Linked DNA regions of Arabidopsis thaliana. The protein of the gene in region 1 interacts with the protein of each later gene in a pairwise test. Each region holds a gene or a part of one and is shown in the gene's direction. Other genes may lie near its edges. The genes, in order: JAZ3, NAC069, TIFY8 and AT1G01260.

Evidence for each region.
Region 2: the proteins of JAZ3 (region 1) and NAC069 interact in binary tests that used the Arabidopsis thaliana proteins (3 or more experiments, as listed by UniProt).
Region 3: the proteins of JAZ3 (region 1) and TIFY8 interact in binary tests that used the Arabidopsis thaliana proteins (3 or more experiments, as listed by UniProt).
Region 4: the proteins of JAZ3 (region 1) and AT1G01260 interact in binary tests that used the Arabidopsis thaliana proteins (3 or more experiments, as listed by UniProt).

The regions. Positions count from the first base shown.
Region 1 is NC_003074.8:6,118,022-6,123,579, forward strand, and holds JAZ3 (jasmonate-zim-domain protein 3), read left to right. Parts: upstream 1-1,685; 5' UTR 1,686-1,946; coding exon 1,947-2,031; exon of another isoform or gene 2,032-3,061; coding exon of another isoform or gene 3,062-3,107; coding exon 3,108-3,307; intron 3,308-3,567; coding exon 3,568-3,782; intron 3,783-3,857; coding exon 3,858-3,948; intron 3,949-4,029; coding exon 4,030-4,333; intron 4,334-4,430; coding exon 4,431-4,491; intron 4,492-4,567; coding exon 4,568-4,670; 3' UTR 4,671-5,023; downstream 5,024-5,558. Other genes in the region: TDX (tetraticopeptide domain-containing thioredoxin), read left to right, coding at 5,513-5,558. UniProt on the Arabidopsis thaliana protein: Repressor of jasmonate responses. Jasmonoyl-isoleucine (JA-Ile) specifically promotes COI1-TIFY6B/JAZ3 interaction. Acts as a negative regulator of MYC2 function. Feed-back regulated by MYC2.
Region 2 is NC_003075.7:673,317-678,272, reverse strand, and holds NAC069 (NAC domain containing protein 69), read left to right. Parts: upstream 1-1,827; 5' UTR 1,828-2,047; coding exon 2,048-2,201; exon of another isoform or gene 2,202-2,281; coding exon 2,282-2,553; intron 2,554-3,059; coding exon 3,060-3,200; intron 3,201-3,274; coding exon 3,275-3,646; intron 3,647-3,726; coding exon 3,727-3,912; intron 3,913-3,999; coding exon 4,000-4,248; 3' UTR 4,249-4,411; downstream 4,412-4,956. Other genes in the region: MEE49 (Ribosomal RNA processing Brix domain protein), read left to right, coding at 1-35, 115-197, 278-357, 439-537, 626-695, 771-860, 969-1,007. UniProt on the Arabidopsis thaliana protein: Transcription activator activated by proteolytic cleavage through regulated intramembrane proteolysis (RIP). Involved in salt stress response during seed germination and seedling growth.
Region 3 is NC_003075.7:15,715,689-15,720,751, reverse strand, and holds TIFY8 (TIFY domain protein 8), read left to right. Parts: upstream 1-1,884; 5' UTR 1,885-2,049; coding exon 2,050-2,296; intron 2,297-2,989; coding exon 2,990-3,159; intron 3,160-3,251; coding exon 3,252-3,508; intron 3,509-3,586; coding exon 3,587-3,683; intron 3,684-3,795; coding exon 3,796-4,021; coding exon of another isoform or gene 4,022-4,086; intron 4,087-4,092; exon of another isoform or gene 4,093-4,230; coding exon 4,231-4,319; 3' UTR 4,320-4,520; downstream 4,521-5,063. Other genes in the region: AT4G32580 (Thioredoxin superfamily protein), read left to right, coding at 217-387, 462-536, 638-874; AT4G32560 (paramyosin-like protein), read right to left, coding at 4,717-4,779, 4,864-4,986. UniProt on the Arabidopsis thaliana protein: Repressor of jasmonate responses.
Region 4 is NC_003070.9:107,255-112,220, forward strand, and holds AT1G01260 (basic helix-loop-helix (bHLH) DNA-binding superfamily protein), read left to right. Parts: upstream 1-1,691; 5' UTR 1,692-2,076; exon of another isoform or gene 2,077-2,151; 5' UTR 2,152-2,340; coding exon 2,341-4,113; 3' UTR 4,114-4,445; downstream 4,446-4,966.

The DNA.
Region 1 (5,558 bases):
AGAGAGCCAAATATTGCAACTACTCAAGTCAGTCTAAATATAGTTAAATGCTGCGCTATATATCATGCATATACATATGTCATTTGATTTTCTCTTTGCCATTATTTACTCTCATTCGATTTTAATACAAAATTATTTAAGTTGTTGTTGTAAACAGACGTTGCTGTTGCTGTTGAGTTTGATTTAGAATAGTTAAGTTTGGTTTTGGTTGGAGAAAAGTTTTCGTTGTTAAGCCAACTCGTGATCATTTAATCTGTTCTTTTTTTGGTAGGGGGTGATCATTGAATCTTTTGTTTTGAGTTTTGTATGTCTATATAGAGTCTAATACCATTAAAACAAAAAAAATGTCGTGGTAACCAGAATTAAATGATGTAAAAACAGAAAACAAGAATTAAATGTCGGATGTAAAAACAGAATTAAATTTCGGATGTTTTATGTGGATCATAGCGTGAGAGATGCGTTTATGGCATCTTTTGATATAATCTTCGCTTTGTAGGTCCACTTTTGATCTGATCTGATCTATTATCTATATGGAATGTTGTGTATATAATAAACTGCAGTGTAGTATTTTCTTAATAATGTGATATTAATATCTAAATTCTAGGCTGGAGAAAATGACGTGTGCTGCATATCCCCCAGACTCGAAATAACGATGTTATCGTGGGAGATGATCGTCAATTTTTTTTTTGTTTAGAGATCGTCAAGTTGTTGTGATCATTGACTCCTTTCCATTTTTTCTATAGATTTGAATTTTAAATATTCATTTTCATAAAAAAATGAAAACTTTATTATTATATTTGTGAGATAATTAGATATGTTTTAAAACATTAGTAAATTTAGTATAGTATTAGTTTTTACTAAATTAAGAAGAAAGTGACGCACGAAATGGCGTAATTTCCTCCCCCGGACCACATGCATCTTATAAATACACAAAAACGATGTCAACGAGTGATTTTAGTAATATGTACATTAAAGTAATATTTTCTTTTTGGTACCAATAATTACCTTAATTAATACAAGTATAGTTTAAGCAACAAGCAACATTCTTTAATAATTCGCGAAAAATATTAATAAAAGTACAATGACAGAAAAAATAATTAAAAATTGGATTAAAAAAAATAATATTAGAGTGATGACATAATCACATGAGGATTTAGATTTAGCTTAATAATGTTTAGTTGTGGAACTAAATTTCCGCAACAATTATTTTGTTGTATTTAAATCATTTTATGAAAGTCTAATCTTTACAATTACTTTATAGTACCATCCGATTAATCAAAGATTAAAAATATAGTACTAAAATACAAATTAATATATTTTGCCAAAAAAATGCAACGTGCAAATGTTTATCTTGGTCAAGAGAACGTGCACGAAAGTAGTGTAACTAATTTTACTATTTTAGATTGAGCGGTGAGACAAAAAGGGGGTTAGACTCACGCGCTACACTTAGCGCGTCAGCCGACAAAAAAAAGTGTTGTCATTGAATAAAAAAATAAATTAAAACTGCCGCTTCGCATCTCGTGAATCATTCACGTTAAAATAGCGCACGTGCCTCGCCACGCGTCTCACCACAAAAAGAAACGCCACACACTGCACGACGATGCACGTGCCTTTTTAACCGACTATATCCGGTGACGTAACCGGGACAACCTGTAGCTGGTTTTTGCGCCAATAGGATATGAGAAAAAAGAATCTTTTTTTTCTTGTTATAGTTATAAATTAATGGTACGATTCACATGTCGCATGCGATTTGTTAATAAAACTAGAAATTGCGGTGAATTAACTTCATTCCACGTTTTTTCATTTTCTCCCTCAAAAGTCTCTGTTTTTTTTCCTTTTTCCGGCGAAGCTCTATTTAGCTTGATTCCGGCGTTTAACACGCGTTTTAATCGAAACAGACATTTGAGATCGAATTAATTTTGTAGCGGGCTGTGTCTTTATTATAGATGGAGAGAGATTTTCTCGGGTTGGGTTCGAAAAATTCTCCGATCACTGTCAAGGAGGAAACCAGCGAAAGCTCTAGAGATTCAGGTTATTTATTACTCTTCTCAATTTTTCTGATTCTGATTGTTTTTAAATCGTAGATTTGTTTGATTGATTAGGAGTTATTAGGACTACTTGTAGTATGGAATTTGTTTTTGGATAGCTGATTTTATGGCTTGCTCGGGAACTGGAATTGTCAGTTTGTTGCTTGGAGCAGAACATTGTCCTTTGCTTTTCTCGGGAGATGTAGAATTTGGATTTGGAAAAACTAGTGTTCTTTTCCAAAGCCTTGTCTTAAACATGCTTTCGGTCGGAGAAATTAACGAGAACTAATCTCAAGCTTCTAACATAATTAAACTCGGTAAACTTTTTTTTACTAGAGTAAATTTTTTTGTTTTGTTTGAAGAGTCTTATAATTGAGAAATACTTTATTAGTTTATACTAAAAAAAAAACGAATACGTAAAATGTTGGAAAAGAGGGGATGTATAGAGACTGATACAAAAATGATAAAATAGAGACGGTTGGTAGTAGGTAGAAAGATTAAATATACTCAAAAGAGTGAGTTGGATTAGTTTATAAGATGATTAACTTCTTGATTGTGTGAGTTGGATTAGTTTATGAGATTATTAAAATATTGATTGTGTATTTGTGTTGTGTGTTGATTAAGCGGAACTTGCGTTAGAATATTGTTCAAGGTACAATGTGGAAATAATAGTTTTCTCACCACGAGGAATATAATTATTTCAACTTTGTTTTCTTATCAGCCAAAACGTGCCACACCATAAAAGTAGTGCATCAACATGTGGTGTGGTGTGGTGGGGTTAAAGTTTGAATCTCTCTTTAATTTAAACTATTAAAACAAACTTAAATTATTGGAGTTTCGTACAATGACTTTCAATCAAATGTTTTAGAATTAGACACGGTTTTCGAAAGTGGTTTTCCCTCGTTGAATTTGTCAACAGTATCAGATTCTACATTGTTGGTTACTAATCTTTTCCTTGAAGTAGGTGTTGAATTAATCCTCTGTTGTTTATGTAAGGAGATCTCGAGACATTTATGGTTAACAGTTAACACTACATGTTTGACTTTAAACTGATTATCTTTTATTCTTTTTCTTTTGTAGCTCCCAACAGAGGAATGAACTGGTCTTTCTCAAACAAAGTATCAGCTTCTTCTTCTCAGTTTCTATCCTTCAGGCCAACTCAAGAAGATAGACATAGAAAGTCTGGAAATTATCATCTTCCTCACTCTGGTTCCTTCATGCCATCATCAGTAGCTGATGTTTATGATTCAACCCGCAAAGCTCCTTACAGTTCTGTACAGGTATTTGTCATCAAAACCTATGTTAACCAAGACCCTTGTGTTTTTTTTATCCTTCGCAAGATAGCTTTAAAAGTGAGCCCTGTTTTATGAGCATATAGTAATTGGTTTTGAGTCTAGTTTAGCACAAGTTCATGGCAATTAGTTTGTGGATCTAATCTTGGTTTAATACTGATTCATTTTAAGTGTAAGCTAAGCTTCTCATTTTTGATAAGTTAGTTCATACAATGCCTCACACCTACTTTATGGCTTGTTACTCTCAGGGAGTGAGGATGTTCCCTAATTCCAATCAACACGAAGAAACTAACGCAGTTTCCATGTCGATGCCGGGTTTCCAGTCTCATCATTATGCACCAGGAGGAAGAAGCTTCATGAACAATAACAATAACTCACAACCTTTGGTAGGAGTTCCTATCATGGCACCTCCAATTTCAATCCTTCCTCCTCCAGGTTCCATTGTAGGGACTACTGATATTAGGTACCCACTAGTCATCATATCATACAGAAACTCTTTCTACATTTTCATAGTTGACTAAAGACTTATTTTTGTCAGATCTTCTTCCAAGCCAATAGGTTCACCTGCGCAGTTGACGATCTTTTATGCCGGTTCAGTTTGTGTTTACGATGACATATCTCCTGAAAAGGTATCTCAATCATTTTCTTCCATATATGCATCTCTTTTACTCGTAAGGTATGGTACTCATTTGCTTTCTTTCATTTCTCAGGCAAAGGCGATAATGTTGCTAGCTGGGAACGGTTCCTCTATGCCTCAAGTCTTTTCGCCGCCTCAAACTCATCAACAAGTGGTCCATCATACTCGTGCCTCTGTCGATTCTTCAGCTATGCCTCCTAGCTTCATGCCTACAATATCTTATCTTAGCCCTGAAGCTGGAAGTAGCACAAACGGACTCGGAGCCACAAAAGCGACAAGAGGCTTGACGTCAACATATCACAACAACCAAGCTAATGGATCCAATATTAACTGCCCAGTACCAGTTTCTTGTTCTACCAATGTAATGGCTCCAACAGGTAAAAAACAAAGTCAGAGACCTGATACTACATTCGCCATCTAACTTACTAGTATTTTCATGGATGTAACTTCATTCTCGTTCTGTTTCTTATGCAGTGGCATTACCTCTGGCTCGCAAAGCATCCCTGGCTAGGTTTTTAGAGAAACGCAAAGAAAGGTACGCAACACTTCTTTAGAATACACCATTCAATAGTTTCTTGGGCTAACTCTCTTTCTCGCTGTGGGTTTCTCAGGGTCACGAGCGTATCCCCATATTGCTTAGACAAGAAGTCATCGACAGATTGTCGCAGATCAATGTCTGAATGCATTAGTTCTTCTCTCAGCTCTGCAACCTAATTTCATCTACAGTAAGAAGGTTGCTTTAGACCACTCCACATCCATATTTGCATTTCAATGGCGGTCTTTTCAATGTCTCAGTTAATTTTTCCTCACTCGCCACACTGAGTTTCTCCTTAGCTTTATATATACGATAGTGTATACTTTGTTTACATGTTTTTTGGTGGAATGGAACTTATGAGAGCATATCAGATATGTACTTGGGAAAATTAGTAGAAACTGTTTGTTTCTTTTTTTTTAACTCTGTTCTTTTGTATATATCACTGAAGCTCGCATATGTATAATTCATGTAATGGAATTGCATCGCTTCTGTTTCCCTAAGTTATTTCTCTAATCAATTTTCTATTCAAATATGGGGATTTTTTTAATAGGATTTGCTAATTTGTACTCTGGTTAACAATAAGCTTGATACATTACCAGTTACCAACTCGAATTCACAAAAGAAGTCATCATTATATATGGAGAAAATGGAACATCTTTTAGAATTTGCTTTAATTCGTTTTGGCTAATTATTTTTCGGTCTTCGTTTTGGCTGTGAGTTTCTTTGTAACATCCTAATTTCAATATGTGGGCCATTTTGTGTTGTAGCCCATCAAGGCCCAATGTCTTATTGCACAACGAAAAGGGATGTTGCAAAAGATGATAAACCGGATATGAATTCAGTCGCGGTTAAGTTAACGCGAAGACAAAACCGGTTGGACATGTTCGGTTTTCGGCGATGATTATTTCAACGTTTTTCAGTCTAATCAAAACCAATACGAGCAGACACAGCTCCGTACGATCACAAGGATTCACTGATTTCTAAGCTTTTCATAGAAAGAAGAAGAAAAAGGCGGAATTCGATGGTGGATGCGATTCAAGTAGCTGAGCTGAGAAGATTCGTCGAGC
Region 2 (4,956 bases), on another chromosome or scaffold:
TCTTATTGTTGTTCATACAAATCGTAGAGAACCTGGTTAGTTTTCACTGAGTTTCAAGTTTTGTGCTCTCTACTGTATATGCTTTGTTTCAAGCTTTTGCTATTTCATATGTAGATGCGCTTCTTATCATCGGTTTGCCAAATGGTCCTACTGCTCATTTCAAATTGTCAAATCTTGTTCTAAGGAAGGATATTAAGGTATGTAAGCTAACCATTACTCTTCTCTACATCGAGTGTAGATTAGTGATCACTGAATTGGATGTTAAATGTAACTGCAGAATCACGGAAATCCTACAAGCCATCAACCAGAACTGGTTTTGAATAACTTTACAACGCGTTTAGGGAATCGTGTTGGGAGGTATAGTTTTCATAGTGTTGTTGACTTGGTTTTATGGTCTCTTTGAATTTCTTGCTGATGTTAGATTTTTCCTTTTTTCAGATTTTTTCAATCACTCTTCCCTCCGGATCCTAATTTCCGTGGTAGGAGAGTTGTAACATTCCACAACCAGCGTGACTTTATATTTTTCAGACATCACCGGTACATAACTTCACCTTTTCTTCTTCGAGTTGCTTTTGCTCCATTCTCCAATAAAACTTTTTATTGAACAAATTTCAACACTATCCAGTTACATATTTGAGACAAAGGAAAGCAAGAGTGATAAAGGAAAAGAAGAGACAATAAAACCTCGTCTTCAGGTCAGTTTTGACCATGTTGAATCAAAAAGTAATCAACATTATCAATGTTTGTATCATTAAACTTTGGATTTTTAGGAATGCGGTCCTCGATTCACGCTTAAGCTAGTTACTCTACAGCATGGAACTTTTGACACCAAAGGTGGAGAATTTGAATGGGTTCATAAGGTAAAATCACCAGAAATGGACACGAGCAGCTTCATTGCTGTTCTTTAGAGTTTTTGATGATTTTTAATTTTATTTTCTGATGTGTTTTTTTTTTGTATTTCATTACAGCCTGAAATGGACACGAGCAGGAGAAGGTTCTTCTTATAAATTCTGCTGTCTTCCGAGTTTCACCAAGTTTTGTGTTTATTTTGCATTTTCGAATTTTCCCTACCTCCGTCCAAAATTGTATGTCTTTAAAACTTCTCATTTCTTTTTTCAATATAGCCATGAGCCATCGAAACAATCGTAAGAGTACTTGTTTCAACAATATAGGCCCTCGTTTTTTACTAAGCTATATATAGTTGGTTAAACTTATGATTGTTTGGTTTGGTATATATCGACATCGAGCATTTGAATCTACAGCAGTAATATTGGATTTTGTTTAGTAGTTAAGTGGACCTTTATGTTGCATAATTAATAGTTTTACGATCATCAGTTCATCACCATAATAATAGGATTAGATTTGAGGATGTGAATGGTTACGGTGGTTGAGACGGATAAATCCGTTTGCGAATTAGACCGTTTTTGATTTACCATTTATAAATTAGAGTATGTAAGATTATAGATTAAGAAAAATAAAAGAAAATCGTCGCGGATCAATTATAGACCGTTTTTACCGCCGTAAGCATTCAAATCCTGAACATCTCTAATGATAATGTAATAGGATTGACAAAAACAAATCTAAAAATTAATTACGATTATTTAGGTGTAGTATAGAACGTAATTACGTATATGTATGTTACTATGTTGTCAATTATGTCGGCTATAATATTCCAGAAAGATCCTTCGGAAAGGAAAAAAAAAAACTGAAACTTCGGTTCGAAGTTCAAACAATTTTTCTTACTGCCACGTGTTACTTCATACACAATTAAAATATTTTTTTGTCCCTCTCATTTGTCAACGTTTAGGGGAAAAACATTAATATACTTTTACTGCATTCCGCCACAAATATCTTTCTTTCTTTTTTTATGGTTCTTCTTCACCCCAACTGTATTAGTACTGTTCGTCTTTCAGAAAAAACAATAATAGATAGAGGAAAAAAGAAAGAAACAGAGAAGTGAGAAAAAGCCCTTAAAACTCAAACACTAAAAAATTTTCAGTGTCGATTCAAAAAGTTTTGTTATTTGATCTGTTTCTGTGTAAAAAAAATGGTGAAAGATCTGGTTGGGTATAGATTTTATCCAACGGGAGAGGAATTGATAAACCATTATCTAAAGAACAAAATTTTGGGTAAGACTTGGCTCGTCGACGAAGCCATTAGCGAGATCAACATCTGTAGTTACGACCCAATTTACTTGCCTTGTAAGTTTCCTCACTTCAAAATCATCATCGTTGTCTCATCATCGGTCATTTCTAATTCTGGATTTGTTTGGTTGTTGTAGCTTTATCGAAGATAAAATCGGATGATCCTGTGTGGTACTTCTTCTGTCCAAAGGAGTATACTTCTGCGAAGAAGAAGGTAACGAAGAGGACTACAAGTTCAGGGTATTGGAAAGCTACTGGTGTTGATAGGAAAATCAAAGATAAGAGAGGTAATCGCGGCGAGATTGGGATAAAGAAGACGCTTGTGTATTATGAAGGTAGAGTTCCTAAAGGTGTTTGGACTCCTTGGGTTATGCATGAGTATCACATCACTTGTTTGCCTCAAGATCAGGTATAATAAACTCAGAGTTTCTTGAATTTGAGCTTCTGTGTTAGTTTGACTTAGCGTTATGTTTCTGTTAGTTGATCTTCTTGAATTGGATTTGGGTTTGATTCATCTGTCCCTGTGTTGGTTGCTATCTTTATCCCAATTTGAGGTTAAAGTCATGTTCTTGTAAGAATAGATTTGGGTTTGACTTATCTTTTCCCTATGATGCTTAGTACATCAAGTTTAGGTTCTGTGTATCAGAGTTTGAAGTGTTATATATAGAAGTTGTGGCCTAGAAGGCTAGTGTATTTGCTTCCCTGTGTTGAATATATTACTGTAATCTCCCCTGTGTTGGTTGCTATCATTAGTACGTTCTGTGTTGTCACAGAGTTTTAAGCGCTATGTATAGAAGTTGTAACCTAGTGTTCTTACTTCTGCCAAAGCTTGTGATTGTTTGAGTTATGTGTGTTTGATTTTTTGTTTTGTTGGCAAAGAACTTATGTGTGTGTGTACTTTTGGAATTTGTTCAGAGGAACTATGTTATCTGCCAAGTGATGTATAAGGGTGAAGATGGAGACGTCCCATCTGGTGGTAACAACTCGAGTGAGCCGAGTCAATCTTTGGTCTCTGATTCGAATACTGTCAGAGCTACGAGTCCCACAGCGCTTGAGGTGACTCCAGTTTCTTTATTTGATAATCTCATGTACTTGATTCGTTTACTCAAAACTCTCTTTTACATTTTCAGTTTGAGAAGCCAGGTCAAGAAAATTTCTTTGGTATGTCTGTGGATGATTTGGGGACTCCAAAGAATGAACAAGAAGATTTCTCTTTGTGGGATGTACTGGATCCAGACATGTTATTCAGTGACAATAACAATCCTACTGTGCATCCACAAGCTCCTCACTTAACCCCGAATGATGATGAGTTTCTCGGTGGATTGAGGCATGTTAACCGAGAGCAGGTTGAATATTTGTTTGCCAATGAAGATTTCATATCCAGACCAACCTTATCTATGACCGAGAACCGCAACGATCACAGGCCAAAGAAGGCTTTGTCAGGGATTATTGTTGATTATAGCAGTGATAGTAATAGTGATGCTGAATCGATATCTGCAACGGTAAAGCAAATCACCCGTTTTCTTTATCGTTACTTCTGTGCTGTAATCTCCATTCTCACATTTTGATTATATTATGTCAGAGTTACCAAGGAACATCAAGTCCAGGTGATGATAGTGTTGGTAGTTCGAATAGACAATTTCTCCAGACTGGTGGAGATGAGATTCTATCGTCTTGCAATGATCTACAAACCTATGGAGAACCTTCCATCAGTAGTAGCACCCGGCAATCTCAACTCACACGAAGCATCATACGACCAAAACAAGAGGTTTTGCGTTGCTCTTATGTTGATTCTATATGATTTCAACATATGTTGGATATATAAAGATAATGATTATGTAACTTTCCTTCACAGGTGAAACAAGATACATCAAGAGCGGTTGATAGTGATACATCCATAGACAAGGAGTCATCTATGGTGAAGACAGAGAAGAAGAGCTGGTTTATTACAGAGGAAGCAATGGAGAGAAACCGCAACAATCCACGGTATATCTATCTCATGAGAATGATCATAGGCTTCATTCTCTTGCTGGCTCTCATTAGCAACATCATATCGGTGTTACAAAACTTGAACCCGGCGATGAAGTTTGATCGCGAGAGATAGACAAAAGCTAGCAGATTGATCAAAGCACTCGTTTTTACTTTGCTTTTATTTATTTCTATTTTCTTCCGAAATTTTGATGTATATATGTGTGTGTATGTATGACCAAGAGGTATGTCTTGTACCTAAAGTTAAATAAAATTTAGGGTTTGAAAATTTTATAACATTTAGAGCGGGTCCATAGTTCAGTGCCGTGGTGGAGCATTAGACTGCTGATAAAGAAAACATTCGACAGAGACCAGTGAATGGTTTGAAAGGTTTCTCAAAGATTTGGTTTGTTGATAATTAAGAGAATGATTACATACCGGACAAGGGACTGGTCTAATGTGATTGATACTTCGATGATCAATCAATCAAATATTACTTCGATGATCAATCAATCAATCAATCATATTACTTACAACTATGTAATATGATTCTATGAACCTTTTTCTTGTTTTTTGTAAACTTTAATCCCTTATCTTGCAAGCCAAATCCATAGACATATATTTTACAAAATTAGTAGTAGTACTATATTGAAGTAGAGAAAGTAATAACGCCATGTCGTCGTCGTCGATGGTGGCGGCTATAATTTCCGAAAGATCCTTCGACTCAAAATACACAAAAAAAACAAGGAAAAGAGAAAGGTTCATACTTTCGTTCGAAGCTCCGACAATGAACCGTCAATAATTTGCCACGTCTTCATTCTCATTCACAATAAAAATAAATTTT
Region 3 (5,063 bases), on another chromosome or scaffold:
AGTTATCAAACTTTTGAGAGTTTGTGACACGTACGATACAGACACAAAATCAAATCTCCCTCTCCGACCATTTTTTTTTCTTAGTTACATAAATCTCTTTTCCTTCTCCAGCAACAGAAGAATTCTGCTCGATAATAGATTGGTAATCACAAAAAGAAAAGAAAAAGTGTTGGAGATCCTTCCGAGAGAGACGCGACATCTCCTTCCTCTTCGAAGATGAGTGGTACTGTGAAGGATATCGTTTCAAAGGAGGAGCTTGATAACTTGCGCCACAGCGGAGCACCACTCGTGCTTCACTTCTGGGCTTCTTGGTGTGACGCTTCGAAGCAGATGGATCAAGTTTTCTCTCATCTCGCTACTGATTTCCCTCGTGCTCACTTCTTTAGGGTTCGTCGTCTCTGTTCGAATTTTATCTCTTTCAATTGGTTTTTGACTTTGATTGGTTTTATTTATCTTCTTAGGTAGAAGCTGAGGAACATCCTGAGATATCTGAGGCTTATTCTGTTGCTCTTGTGCCGTATTTCGTCTTCTTCAAGGTAAACTTTAGGCATATTGATTCTTTGTTTGGTTGCAATTTTTTGGCTTATTGACAAAGCTTGAATCTTTGTCACTGCACTGAATCCTTTTCTTATTGAAGGATGGCAAAACTGTGGATACACTTGAAGGGGCAGATCCATCAAGTTTAGCTAATAAAGTTGGCAAAGTTGCTGGTTCTATTACTCCTGCAAGCTTAGGGTTGGCTGCAGGGCCAACGATTCTTGAAACTGTTAAGAAGAATGCGAAAGCTTCTGGACAAGACCGAGCTCAGCCTGTATCTACCGCTGATGCTCTCAAGAATCGTTTGGAAAAACTCACCCTGTTATGTTATTCATGAATGGTACTCCTGAAGAGCCTCGATTTTTAATATCTATTGAGTACTTTCTTTATAGTTGGAATTCTTGTGGATATATATCAGGTAGCTACTTGGAGCAAACATGTTGCTAAAGTTGACCTGCTACTGTTGTTTGAAGAACACGTGCTATGTCTTGTCGTTGAAGGAATTATGTTCATATGGGAAGAACATAAGCCTACTGGAAAGTTTACCCCTAGCTCTATTGTTAACCCAGATACTTGAGCCTCCATATCACAAACATCTAGTTAAGGTTTGTGTAGTAAGAACAAGAAAAACAACACGTGTTCCCAATTCCCATATAAATGACCATTATACTTCTATCAACCCAATTAATCACAGTCCGGAGACTAGTTGATTAAAAAATCAGCTAATACTAATTTGGTGGTTTCAATAAACATCTTAAATACTCCATAATTAAACTAGATTAAAGTGGGAAAAATCGTCATGAGTAGTTGTAAAATCGATTTCATTTAAGAGTATAGAAATTCGTCATGAGTGGTTGGTTCATGAGTTCTCTCTCTTACTCATATTAGAGTAAGAAATCAAACACTTATAATCATTCAAAATTCAACAACTCTCATCTCAAAACCATATATTTAGGTAAAGTTATATGCATACATTTTGCATTTTAATTTTAAAACAGATTATTTGGCGCGTAATGATAAAATTATGTGTATAAAAATTATTTAACTAATCGATCTAACAACCACATATGAGTAAAGTAGTTAACATTGTACTACTACACCAAATTATAGTGTGTTGGTTAGATTAGATACACAAACTCACTTTCTCAAATCAATAACATTATGAATCTATGATAACCTTAATTTAAAAAGAGTCTATAATGCCATGATTTTACAATCGTACTTTTTTCTTTTGGGCTGAACTTTTAATCATATATTATTTGAAAGATGTGATTATTATAATATTAAAGGGAATTAAAATCATGTAAGAGAAACCCAATAAAGTAGCTTGAAGAAGAAAAAGACAAGCTTTATTATACACTTACCCAGAAAAACAAAAAACAAAAAACTGATAATATCTCTCTCTCTCTCTCTCGTTGAGTGTGTCCATGAAATAATACTCTGCCAGAGACAGAGAGAAAGACTGTAACGGAGGATGTGGTGGCGAAGTGGCCACACTGACACACTGGTTTCATGATGGTGAACCACAACAATGGCCAGCGACCCACTGATATTGATTCTCGTCTCCGACAGACAGAACAAGATAAGCTCTTGTTCCATGACTTTTTAGGCTCCAAGAATCCTACTTTAGCATCCACTTCCATGGCTGACCATAGGCTACCACCGGATAATAAGGCGGCTAAAGCGGCGATGACTCCTTCCACGGCTTCTGCTTCCTCCGCCGGTGGACTCGGCGGTCTCTCCTCAACCTCCGATCTCGGTTCTGCTCTGTCTCTCTATCTCTCTCTCCTGATGTTTTTGTTGTTGTTGACGTAGTGTGCTTACGCTGATGAGGTTTTGAGCTGATTCCTCTGTACATTTAGGGTTTCTATCTATAGAAAGTTCAACTTTTGTTACATAGATTCGATTTAAAGTTGGATTCTTTCTTTTCCCCCTAGTCTGGATTAACGATCGAGCTTTGATTCACCATGATTTGAAAATGTAAGAGATCATGTGAGTTAGTTTCAAATTTTTTAGTCAATTCATTTATGATTAGATCTCTTAAGTTGAAAATGGAACATCTTTGGGTTCATAAGGTTGAACAAAATGTGAATGTACATTGTCTTGTTTCATTTCTTGCCTCATTGCTTTTTTAGTTCGACAATTTAAGAAACATGAACATGGATTGTGTGTGGGCATGTGGTTGCTTGACCTCTTGTAGTGTTAAGGACTCTCCCTCTCTCTCTCTCTCTCTCTCTCTCTCTGCCCAACCATAATGCCCTCTGGTGGATTAGTTGGGACATTGAGAGTGAATTTGACTGATGAGTTTGGTGGGTCATAGCCATTTGAGGTTGTGATCCTTTTTTATATGAATTGGCCCTTCTTTATTGCCTCTCGTTTTCTCTCTCTATCTCCTTGAGTTCCCTCCCACAACAATCTTTAAGTTACTTATCCATATTTTATCATTGTTTAGTCGAAAGACACAGCGGCGGTGGGAATCATCTTGATGGGATACAATTGTTTGGACCAAGAAGTGATGTTTCTGGCTCAATCATGAGCAATCGGTTTTCAGGAAATAAGAGAAGTAACTCTGATTCTCACTTCACGACTCAGGAGCACCCAGAGACTCTGCATTGGTCCAAGGTAACTAAAAAAAAAACAGAACCTACACAACTTCACCATGGTCACAGCTACGTAGAACTCAGTTTCTGTAATATGTCATTGTCATAACCTAGTTGCTTAGAAACGGACCTGGAAGCTTCTCCATGAATGTGAATCCTTTGGCAAACCAGCCTCCACGCGGAGGAGGACAGATCAGTCATTTGCTTCATCAGCTGTCTACTAGCAGGTTCAAAGATGAGAACGTAGGCCCATCAGTTATTGCTCAGACAGCTGCTGATGAAGGTTCACGAACAGGGATGAAAGGTCCCGGTATCTTGAGTTCTTTTACAATGCCAAACTCAAGCAAGCTCGAAAGTTTTGCCCCTTCAAAGTCAGTTAGCTTCTAGTGTTTTGTGTCTCTGGTCTTTCGATACTCTTCGAGTCATTTCAATACACTTTGTATTTGCAGTACCGGAAATCGGAAAGACTTGGCGTCGAGTACTAAGCAAATGACCATCTTCTATGGCGGTCAAGCTCATGTCTTTGATGACGTTCACCCAAACAAGGTGATTCTCCCTAACACTTATACACTTGATATTCAAGTTATTTGACTACATTTTGATATCTAAAAAGGTAGAGAATTGAGAAGTTCATCTGATGAATGTTATTTTTTTGCAGGCGGATGTGATAATGGCCTTGGCAGGATCAAGCGGAGGCTCATGGTCTACGGGTTTGTCTCATAAACCGAAGTCGAAGAACAACACAAGTGACGGTCCATACAAGCTAGGCCAAATGTATGAAGGAGGCAGCTCTAAGGAAACACCACAAATGCCCCCGGAATTTCGTGCAAGGCCGAGTCATCAACCTACCTCCAGTGCCTGTCACCGGATCTTTACACAACCAGGTGACTTCTTTTTAAAGAAAACCAGATTTCAGCAGAAATTTTGGTTAGCTTCTTACAAATACTGAGTGGAGTAGAGTAATCAGGTCTTATTTTGCATTGTGACATAATAAAATGAGGATACAACAGTAAAGAGTTATCAACTGTTCTGGGTTTTATCAACTTGAATCTGTTTGAGGAGCCATAAAACCATGTACATGTATGATTTGCAGGTAGAGAGCATCAAGGAAGCATCATCTCAAGGGGACGAGATATCAGAGATCCGGTTCACAGATCAGATCCTGAAAAAGAAGCCACATGATTAAAGTCTGAATATGAGAGACGATGAGTGTGGCTGTTCTTCTAAGTTGTTGTTTTTTTTGTTTTTTTTTTGTTTTTGGTCAACTTCTTCTAAGTTGTTATTTGTTGACTTGATAGCTTTGTACAATGCTCTGTACCTTTCTAGGTTTGTATTCAAACTCATCTCCTCAATGATTTAGAGAATAATATTTTCTCATAGCTCATATATAAACATATTGGTCAACCAAACCTACTATTTCTAGGCCTATCGATTTTCGTATATTTCCATGTAAGGCTGAGCATATGGATACATCACATCACAAGAGAATCATATCTAAATCAACTCTGGCTCTACTCTGGTTAGCTGTAACTCGAAAGGAGAGTCACTTCATATCACCTTATTCAAACCCTTCTTCGAGTCAGAGGTGTTCGTTCATGGCAGATATATGACTTCTCAGCCTCTCATTCTTAGTACATTCCTCCTGCCATTGAGAAATTTAGCACTACGTAAGTAGATGACTCTCGGGCTTTTCAGTATAAACACTTATTTCCTATCTTGTGCTAACCTGGTATGCTCTTAGTACAGTGTAGCATTTTCTTTGCTCTGCAGCTGCAGCTATATACTTTTCTTTTGAAGCATCACGGAGCCTCTGCTCTTCTTGAAGCCCAAGTTGTATTTTTCCAATCTTCTGCACTTTAAACATTTTGTTATGACAAATCATACAGCTATAGATAGGTAAGATGGGTTAGTTCATGCTTTGTGCCT
Region 4 (4,966 bases), on another chromosome or scaffold:
TTTATAAGGTAACAAAATTAAGGAAAAACTATTGTTACAACTTCAACTTGCAAGTATGTTTCTGAAGCTAGAGTTTACAGTCACGTGTGAAAATCAAACCAATTTGGATCATTATTGAAGATAAATGAATACTTGATATATTGTTAGTACAAATTTAAACAAAGCGATAGGTTTAGTGGCATTCAGAATAAGTTCACCAAGAACCGGCACTACTTTATCCGGGATTAAATCAACTCTTACAATAGAGTTAACTGGACTAATAGGCCGATTTGTTGTGGTAAAACAAAACCAATGAAATATATGATAAGATTGAGATTTAAGAATTCAAGACTGAGTCCGTTGAACAGCCCATTCTAATTCTGATTGCTAGATAAGGGATAGATGGGGGGCATTATTAAGGTTTGGGAAAAAGGCTGATATCACGTTTGACCTAGCACATATGTGGCCCAACATTACAAGAATTCCATAGAAAACCAGTATTGTAATATCGGCCCATATTATATTCTTGACGACTTGGAGATATTGTAAGTCGACGTCGTTGTTTGACTTAGATGGGAATGGGACCCAAACGTCTCGAATAAAGGATAGTTTAAACACGTGAATCACGCGGTCCCCACTTTTTGCTGTGTGTTTCTCACCGCCATACATATATTATACCCACTCGTGACTTCATTTTCCATAATTACTATATATACTAATTTTTTGTTTTAACTTTATCGTTTGTTAAAGATTTTTCCAAAATAATATAGTCATTGTATATTCATTTTCGCAGAGCCGTAGTTTATATTTTGATGATAATTTTATGACTTAAAGAGTGAAAGCTATAAATATATTACAATTCAATTGTGGTTGCGAGAGAATAAACAAAAAGAGAAAGAGAAAAAAAAAACGTTACAGAAGAGAAAGTGCAGAGCTGTGCAGGCGCATTTGAAAATGAAATTAAAAAGAAAAAGAGATCCAAAGAAAATTAAATGCATCTCACGTTCTTCTCATTCTGGTCATCTCTCCTAAATCCACGTGAACTTCACGTGCTTTTCACGCCCTCCTCTCTATCGACTTGGCGTTTCCTTTCTTCTAAAGGAGTTGAATTGTTTTGTCAACATTTATCAAGTTATTTAGTAATTTGTTTTTTTGTTTTGTTTTTAAAAAAATTATTTACTCCCGTTGTAGAACCACCATCAATAATATTACCAAAAATAATAATCAAGGATCTAAACTAAAATAAGCCTTTTATTTTGTATAATTCTGAAAGCATTTGAAACTTAAGGAACAACTCTTTAGTCTTTGCAACAAAACAAAACACAACAAAAACCGAATATTTAAGCCTAACTTGAATGTGAATTGATTTGGTCAAAATTCCCGGTGCTTGACCACCGGTCTTAGTTGGCATACTTTGCAATTATGTAAACAAAAATTTTAAAAATTGAAAGCAAACTTCTAAATTTGGGTTTGGTTTCCCCTTTAGTTATTTCCATGAACATGAGAATCTAATCTCGAGTTGTCAGATAGTATTTGTTTAGATCTACACCAGTTGAGATAGATCTGTTGCAAATTTTTAATTAATCAAAACCCATAATTGAAAATTATGTCAATCAATTATTGACAAAAACCATGACATAATCTAAGGGGTTTTCAATCGTCGTGTATCAAAGACTCGAGACAAAGACTAAATCGAACCAGACCCGGTTTAAGTTTCTAAACTCAATTGTGTAGTTAAGTAGCTAACCATGGTTCAGATGAAAGTCTTTTTGTTTTGTTTTTTGTTTTGTTTGTTGGGGTTTGGTCTTTTAATAAAAAAGAGCACGAAGAACATGCGTCGGACTCTCTCTCTTCCTTGAATTCATTCAATTGGCCACGGCGACAAAACAGGGAGCCGATACAGCGAAACTGATACATCTTTTTTTATTTTCTGGATTCTTAGGGTTCTTTTTCGGGGAATTTAGGTAATTTGTTTGTCCATTTTGGTGGGGTTTGGGAGATTTAAAATTTGTGTTTTTTTTTGGGTCGGATTCTCAAAAATCTGATTTTGAGGAGAAAATCTCGGTGGAAGAGACTTGATTCAAATCTTCTTTACTGGTAAAAATATATTCTTCTCAATTCCTCATTTTCTGTTGGTGGAGTTTGATTTTTGTCATTTAATTGTTGTTAAAGAAAATAGGGGCAAGATCTGAGATCTCTGGGTGTTCCATGCAAAACTGTTATACTCCGCCGTATATTTGCATCTGGGTCACACTTCTAAACCCTATCATTTGACTTAAGAATCGATTTCTGAAGATCTGGGTTTCTTAAAAGTCTTTCCTTTTTGTTGGGATCCAAACAACAAAAGAAAAGAAAGCAGAGATGAATATTGGTCGCCTAGTGTGGAACGAGGACGATAAAGCGATTGTTGCGTCATTACTGGGCAAACGAGCTCTCGATTACTTGCTTTCCAACTCTGTTTCCAATGCTAATCTCTTGATGACTCTAGGAAGCGACGAGAATCTGCAGAACAAGCTCTCGGATCTCGTCGAGAGACCCAACGCTTCTAATTTCTCTTGGAACTACGCCATTTTCTGGCAGATTTCCAGGTCAAAGGCCGGAGATTTGGTTCTCTGTTGGGGCGATGGATATTGCAGAGAGCCTAAAGAAGGAGAGAAATCAGAGATCGTTAGGATTCTAAGTATGGGAAGAGAAGAAGAAACGCATCAGACTATGAGAAAGAGAGTATTGCAAAAGCTTCATGATTTGTTTGGTGGCTCAGAAGAAGAGAACTGTGCTTTAGGACTAGATAGAGTTACTGACACTGAGATGTTTCTTCTTTCTTCTATGTATTTCTCATTCCCTCGAGGTGAAGGTGGTCCAGGCAAGTGTTTTGCCTCTGCTAAACCTGTTTGGTTATCCGATGTCGTCAATTCGGGTTCTGATTATTGCGTTAGATCGTTTCTTGCTAAATCTGCTGGCATTCAGACTGTTGTTTTGGTTCCTACTGATCTTGGTGTTGTTGAGTTAGGCTCAACTTCATGTTTGCCTGAAAGTGAAGACTCAATCTTGTCTATAAGATCATTGTTTACCAGTAGTTTGCCTCCGGTTAGAGCTGTTGCTTTACCTGTTACTGTAGCTGAAAAGATTGATGATAACAGAACGAAGATATTCGGCAAGGATTTGCACAATTCAGGGTTTCTTCAACATCATCAGCATCACCAACAACAACAACAACAACCACCGCAACAGCAACAGCATAGACAGTTTAGAGAGAAACTCACGGTTAGAAAAATGGATGATAGAGCTCCCAAGAGATTAGATGCTTATCCGAATAATGGGAACAGGTTTATGTTTTCGAACCCAGGCACCAACAACAACACTCTTCTGAGTCCTACTTGGGTTCAACCTGAGAACTACACGAGGCCAATCAACGTGAAGGAAGTTCCAAGCACGGATGAGTTCAAGTTTTTACCTTTGCAGCAATCATCGCAGAGGCTGCTTCCTCCTGCTCAAATGCAGATAGATTTCTCTGCTGCGAGTTCAAGGGCTTCAGAGAATAATTCAGATGGAGAAGGAGGAGGGGAATGGGCAGATGCAGTGGGTGCTGATGAATCTGGTAACAACAGACCAAGAAAACGCGGAAGGAGACCTGCCAACGGAAGAGCGGAAGCTTTGAACCATGTAGAAGCAGAGAGGCAGAGGCGTGAGAAGCTTAACCAGAGGTTTTACGCTCTGAGATCCGTTGTTCCCAACATATCCAAGATGGACAAAGCGTCCTTGTTGGGAGACGCGGTTTCTTATATAAACGAGCTTCACGCGAAGCTAAAGGTCATGGAAGCAGAGAGAGAGAGGTTAGGGTATAGCTCAAATCCACCTATCAGCTTGGATTCAGATATAAATGTTCAAACCTCAGGTGAAGATGTCACAGTGAGGATAAACTGTCCGTTGGAGTCTCATCCGGCTTCCAGAATCTTCCATGCGTTTGAAGAGAGTAAAGTAGAAGTGATAAACTCGAACCTGGAAGTTTCTCAGGACACAGTGTTGCATACGTTTGTAGTCAAATCTGAAGAATTAACGAAAGAGAAGCTGATATCGGCCTTGTCTAGAGAGCAAACAAATTCAGTTCAGTCAAGAACATCATCAGGTAGATAGCCTTTTGAGAGACAGAAGAAGGTGGAAGTAAGTTTGTAATCAAGAACCGGTTTTGAATGGTTCTTTTTTTCTTCTAGGTATCTTTTGTTTTTACCTTTTTTTGGTTATATACCTGTAAGAATCCTCCAAACTAGGATTTTAGAAGTTTTATTGACAAAAGTAGACATTATCATTTACTCGTTTTACAGTGGACAAAGCTGGGAATTAAGTAATTAACGATAATGTTGTATCTGTTAAAGTCGTAGACTAGCTCATGAATCAGTCTTTATTCATTCTGATATGTCCTATGTGTTGGATTTGGTGAAGTGTTTAATCGACAAGTCAGATAAGTGTTATGGATTGGTCACGGAATTGCTCAAGAACAACAAAACACAGCTGATTCATTGCTTGTGAACAAGAGGAAACACTATGATGTTCGTGCACACCATTTTTAGTGTTCAAACTAACATAAACCGTTATCGCCTGGGGAAAACAAAAGTTTTAAGAAGAGAAACAGGTGGAAAATGTAACAAAAATAAAAATAGGTTCCACCGAGACTTGAACTCGGGTTACTAGATTCAGAGTCTAGTGTCCTAACCGCTAGACCATGGAACCGCTTGATGTTTAGATTGCAGTAAATACGTTTTTAATATGTTTCTCTATTGTGAGTCAAAGGGTAATGCGATGTTTCTTTCTAGATTTCCTAAGCTAACTCAGTCCTAATAAACCGATTAAAAAGAACATGAACAAAGCATGCAGATCATAAAAGTGTCACACAAAGAGAGAGATACATGTTAGATTGTTTTTTTTTCTTCTCTTAAATGATAATTAATCGTTCTAACAAAAACTTAGCTACTAGTCTTCCATGATTTGT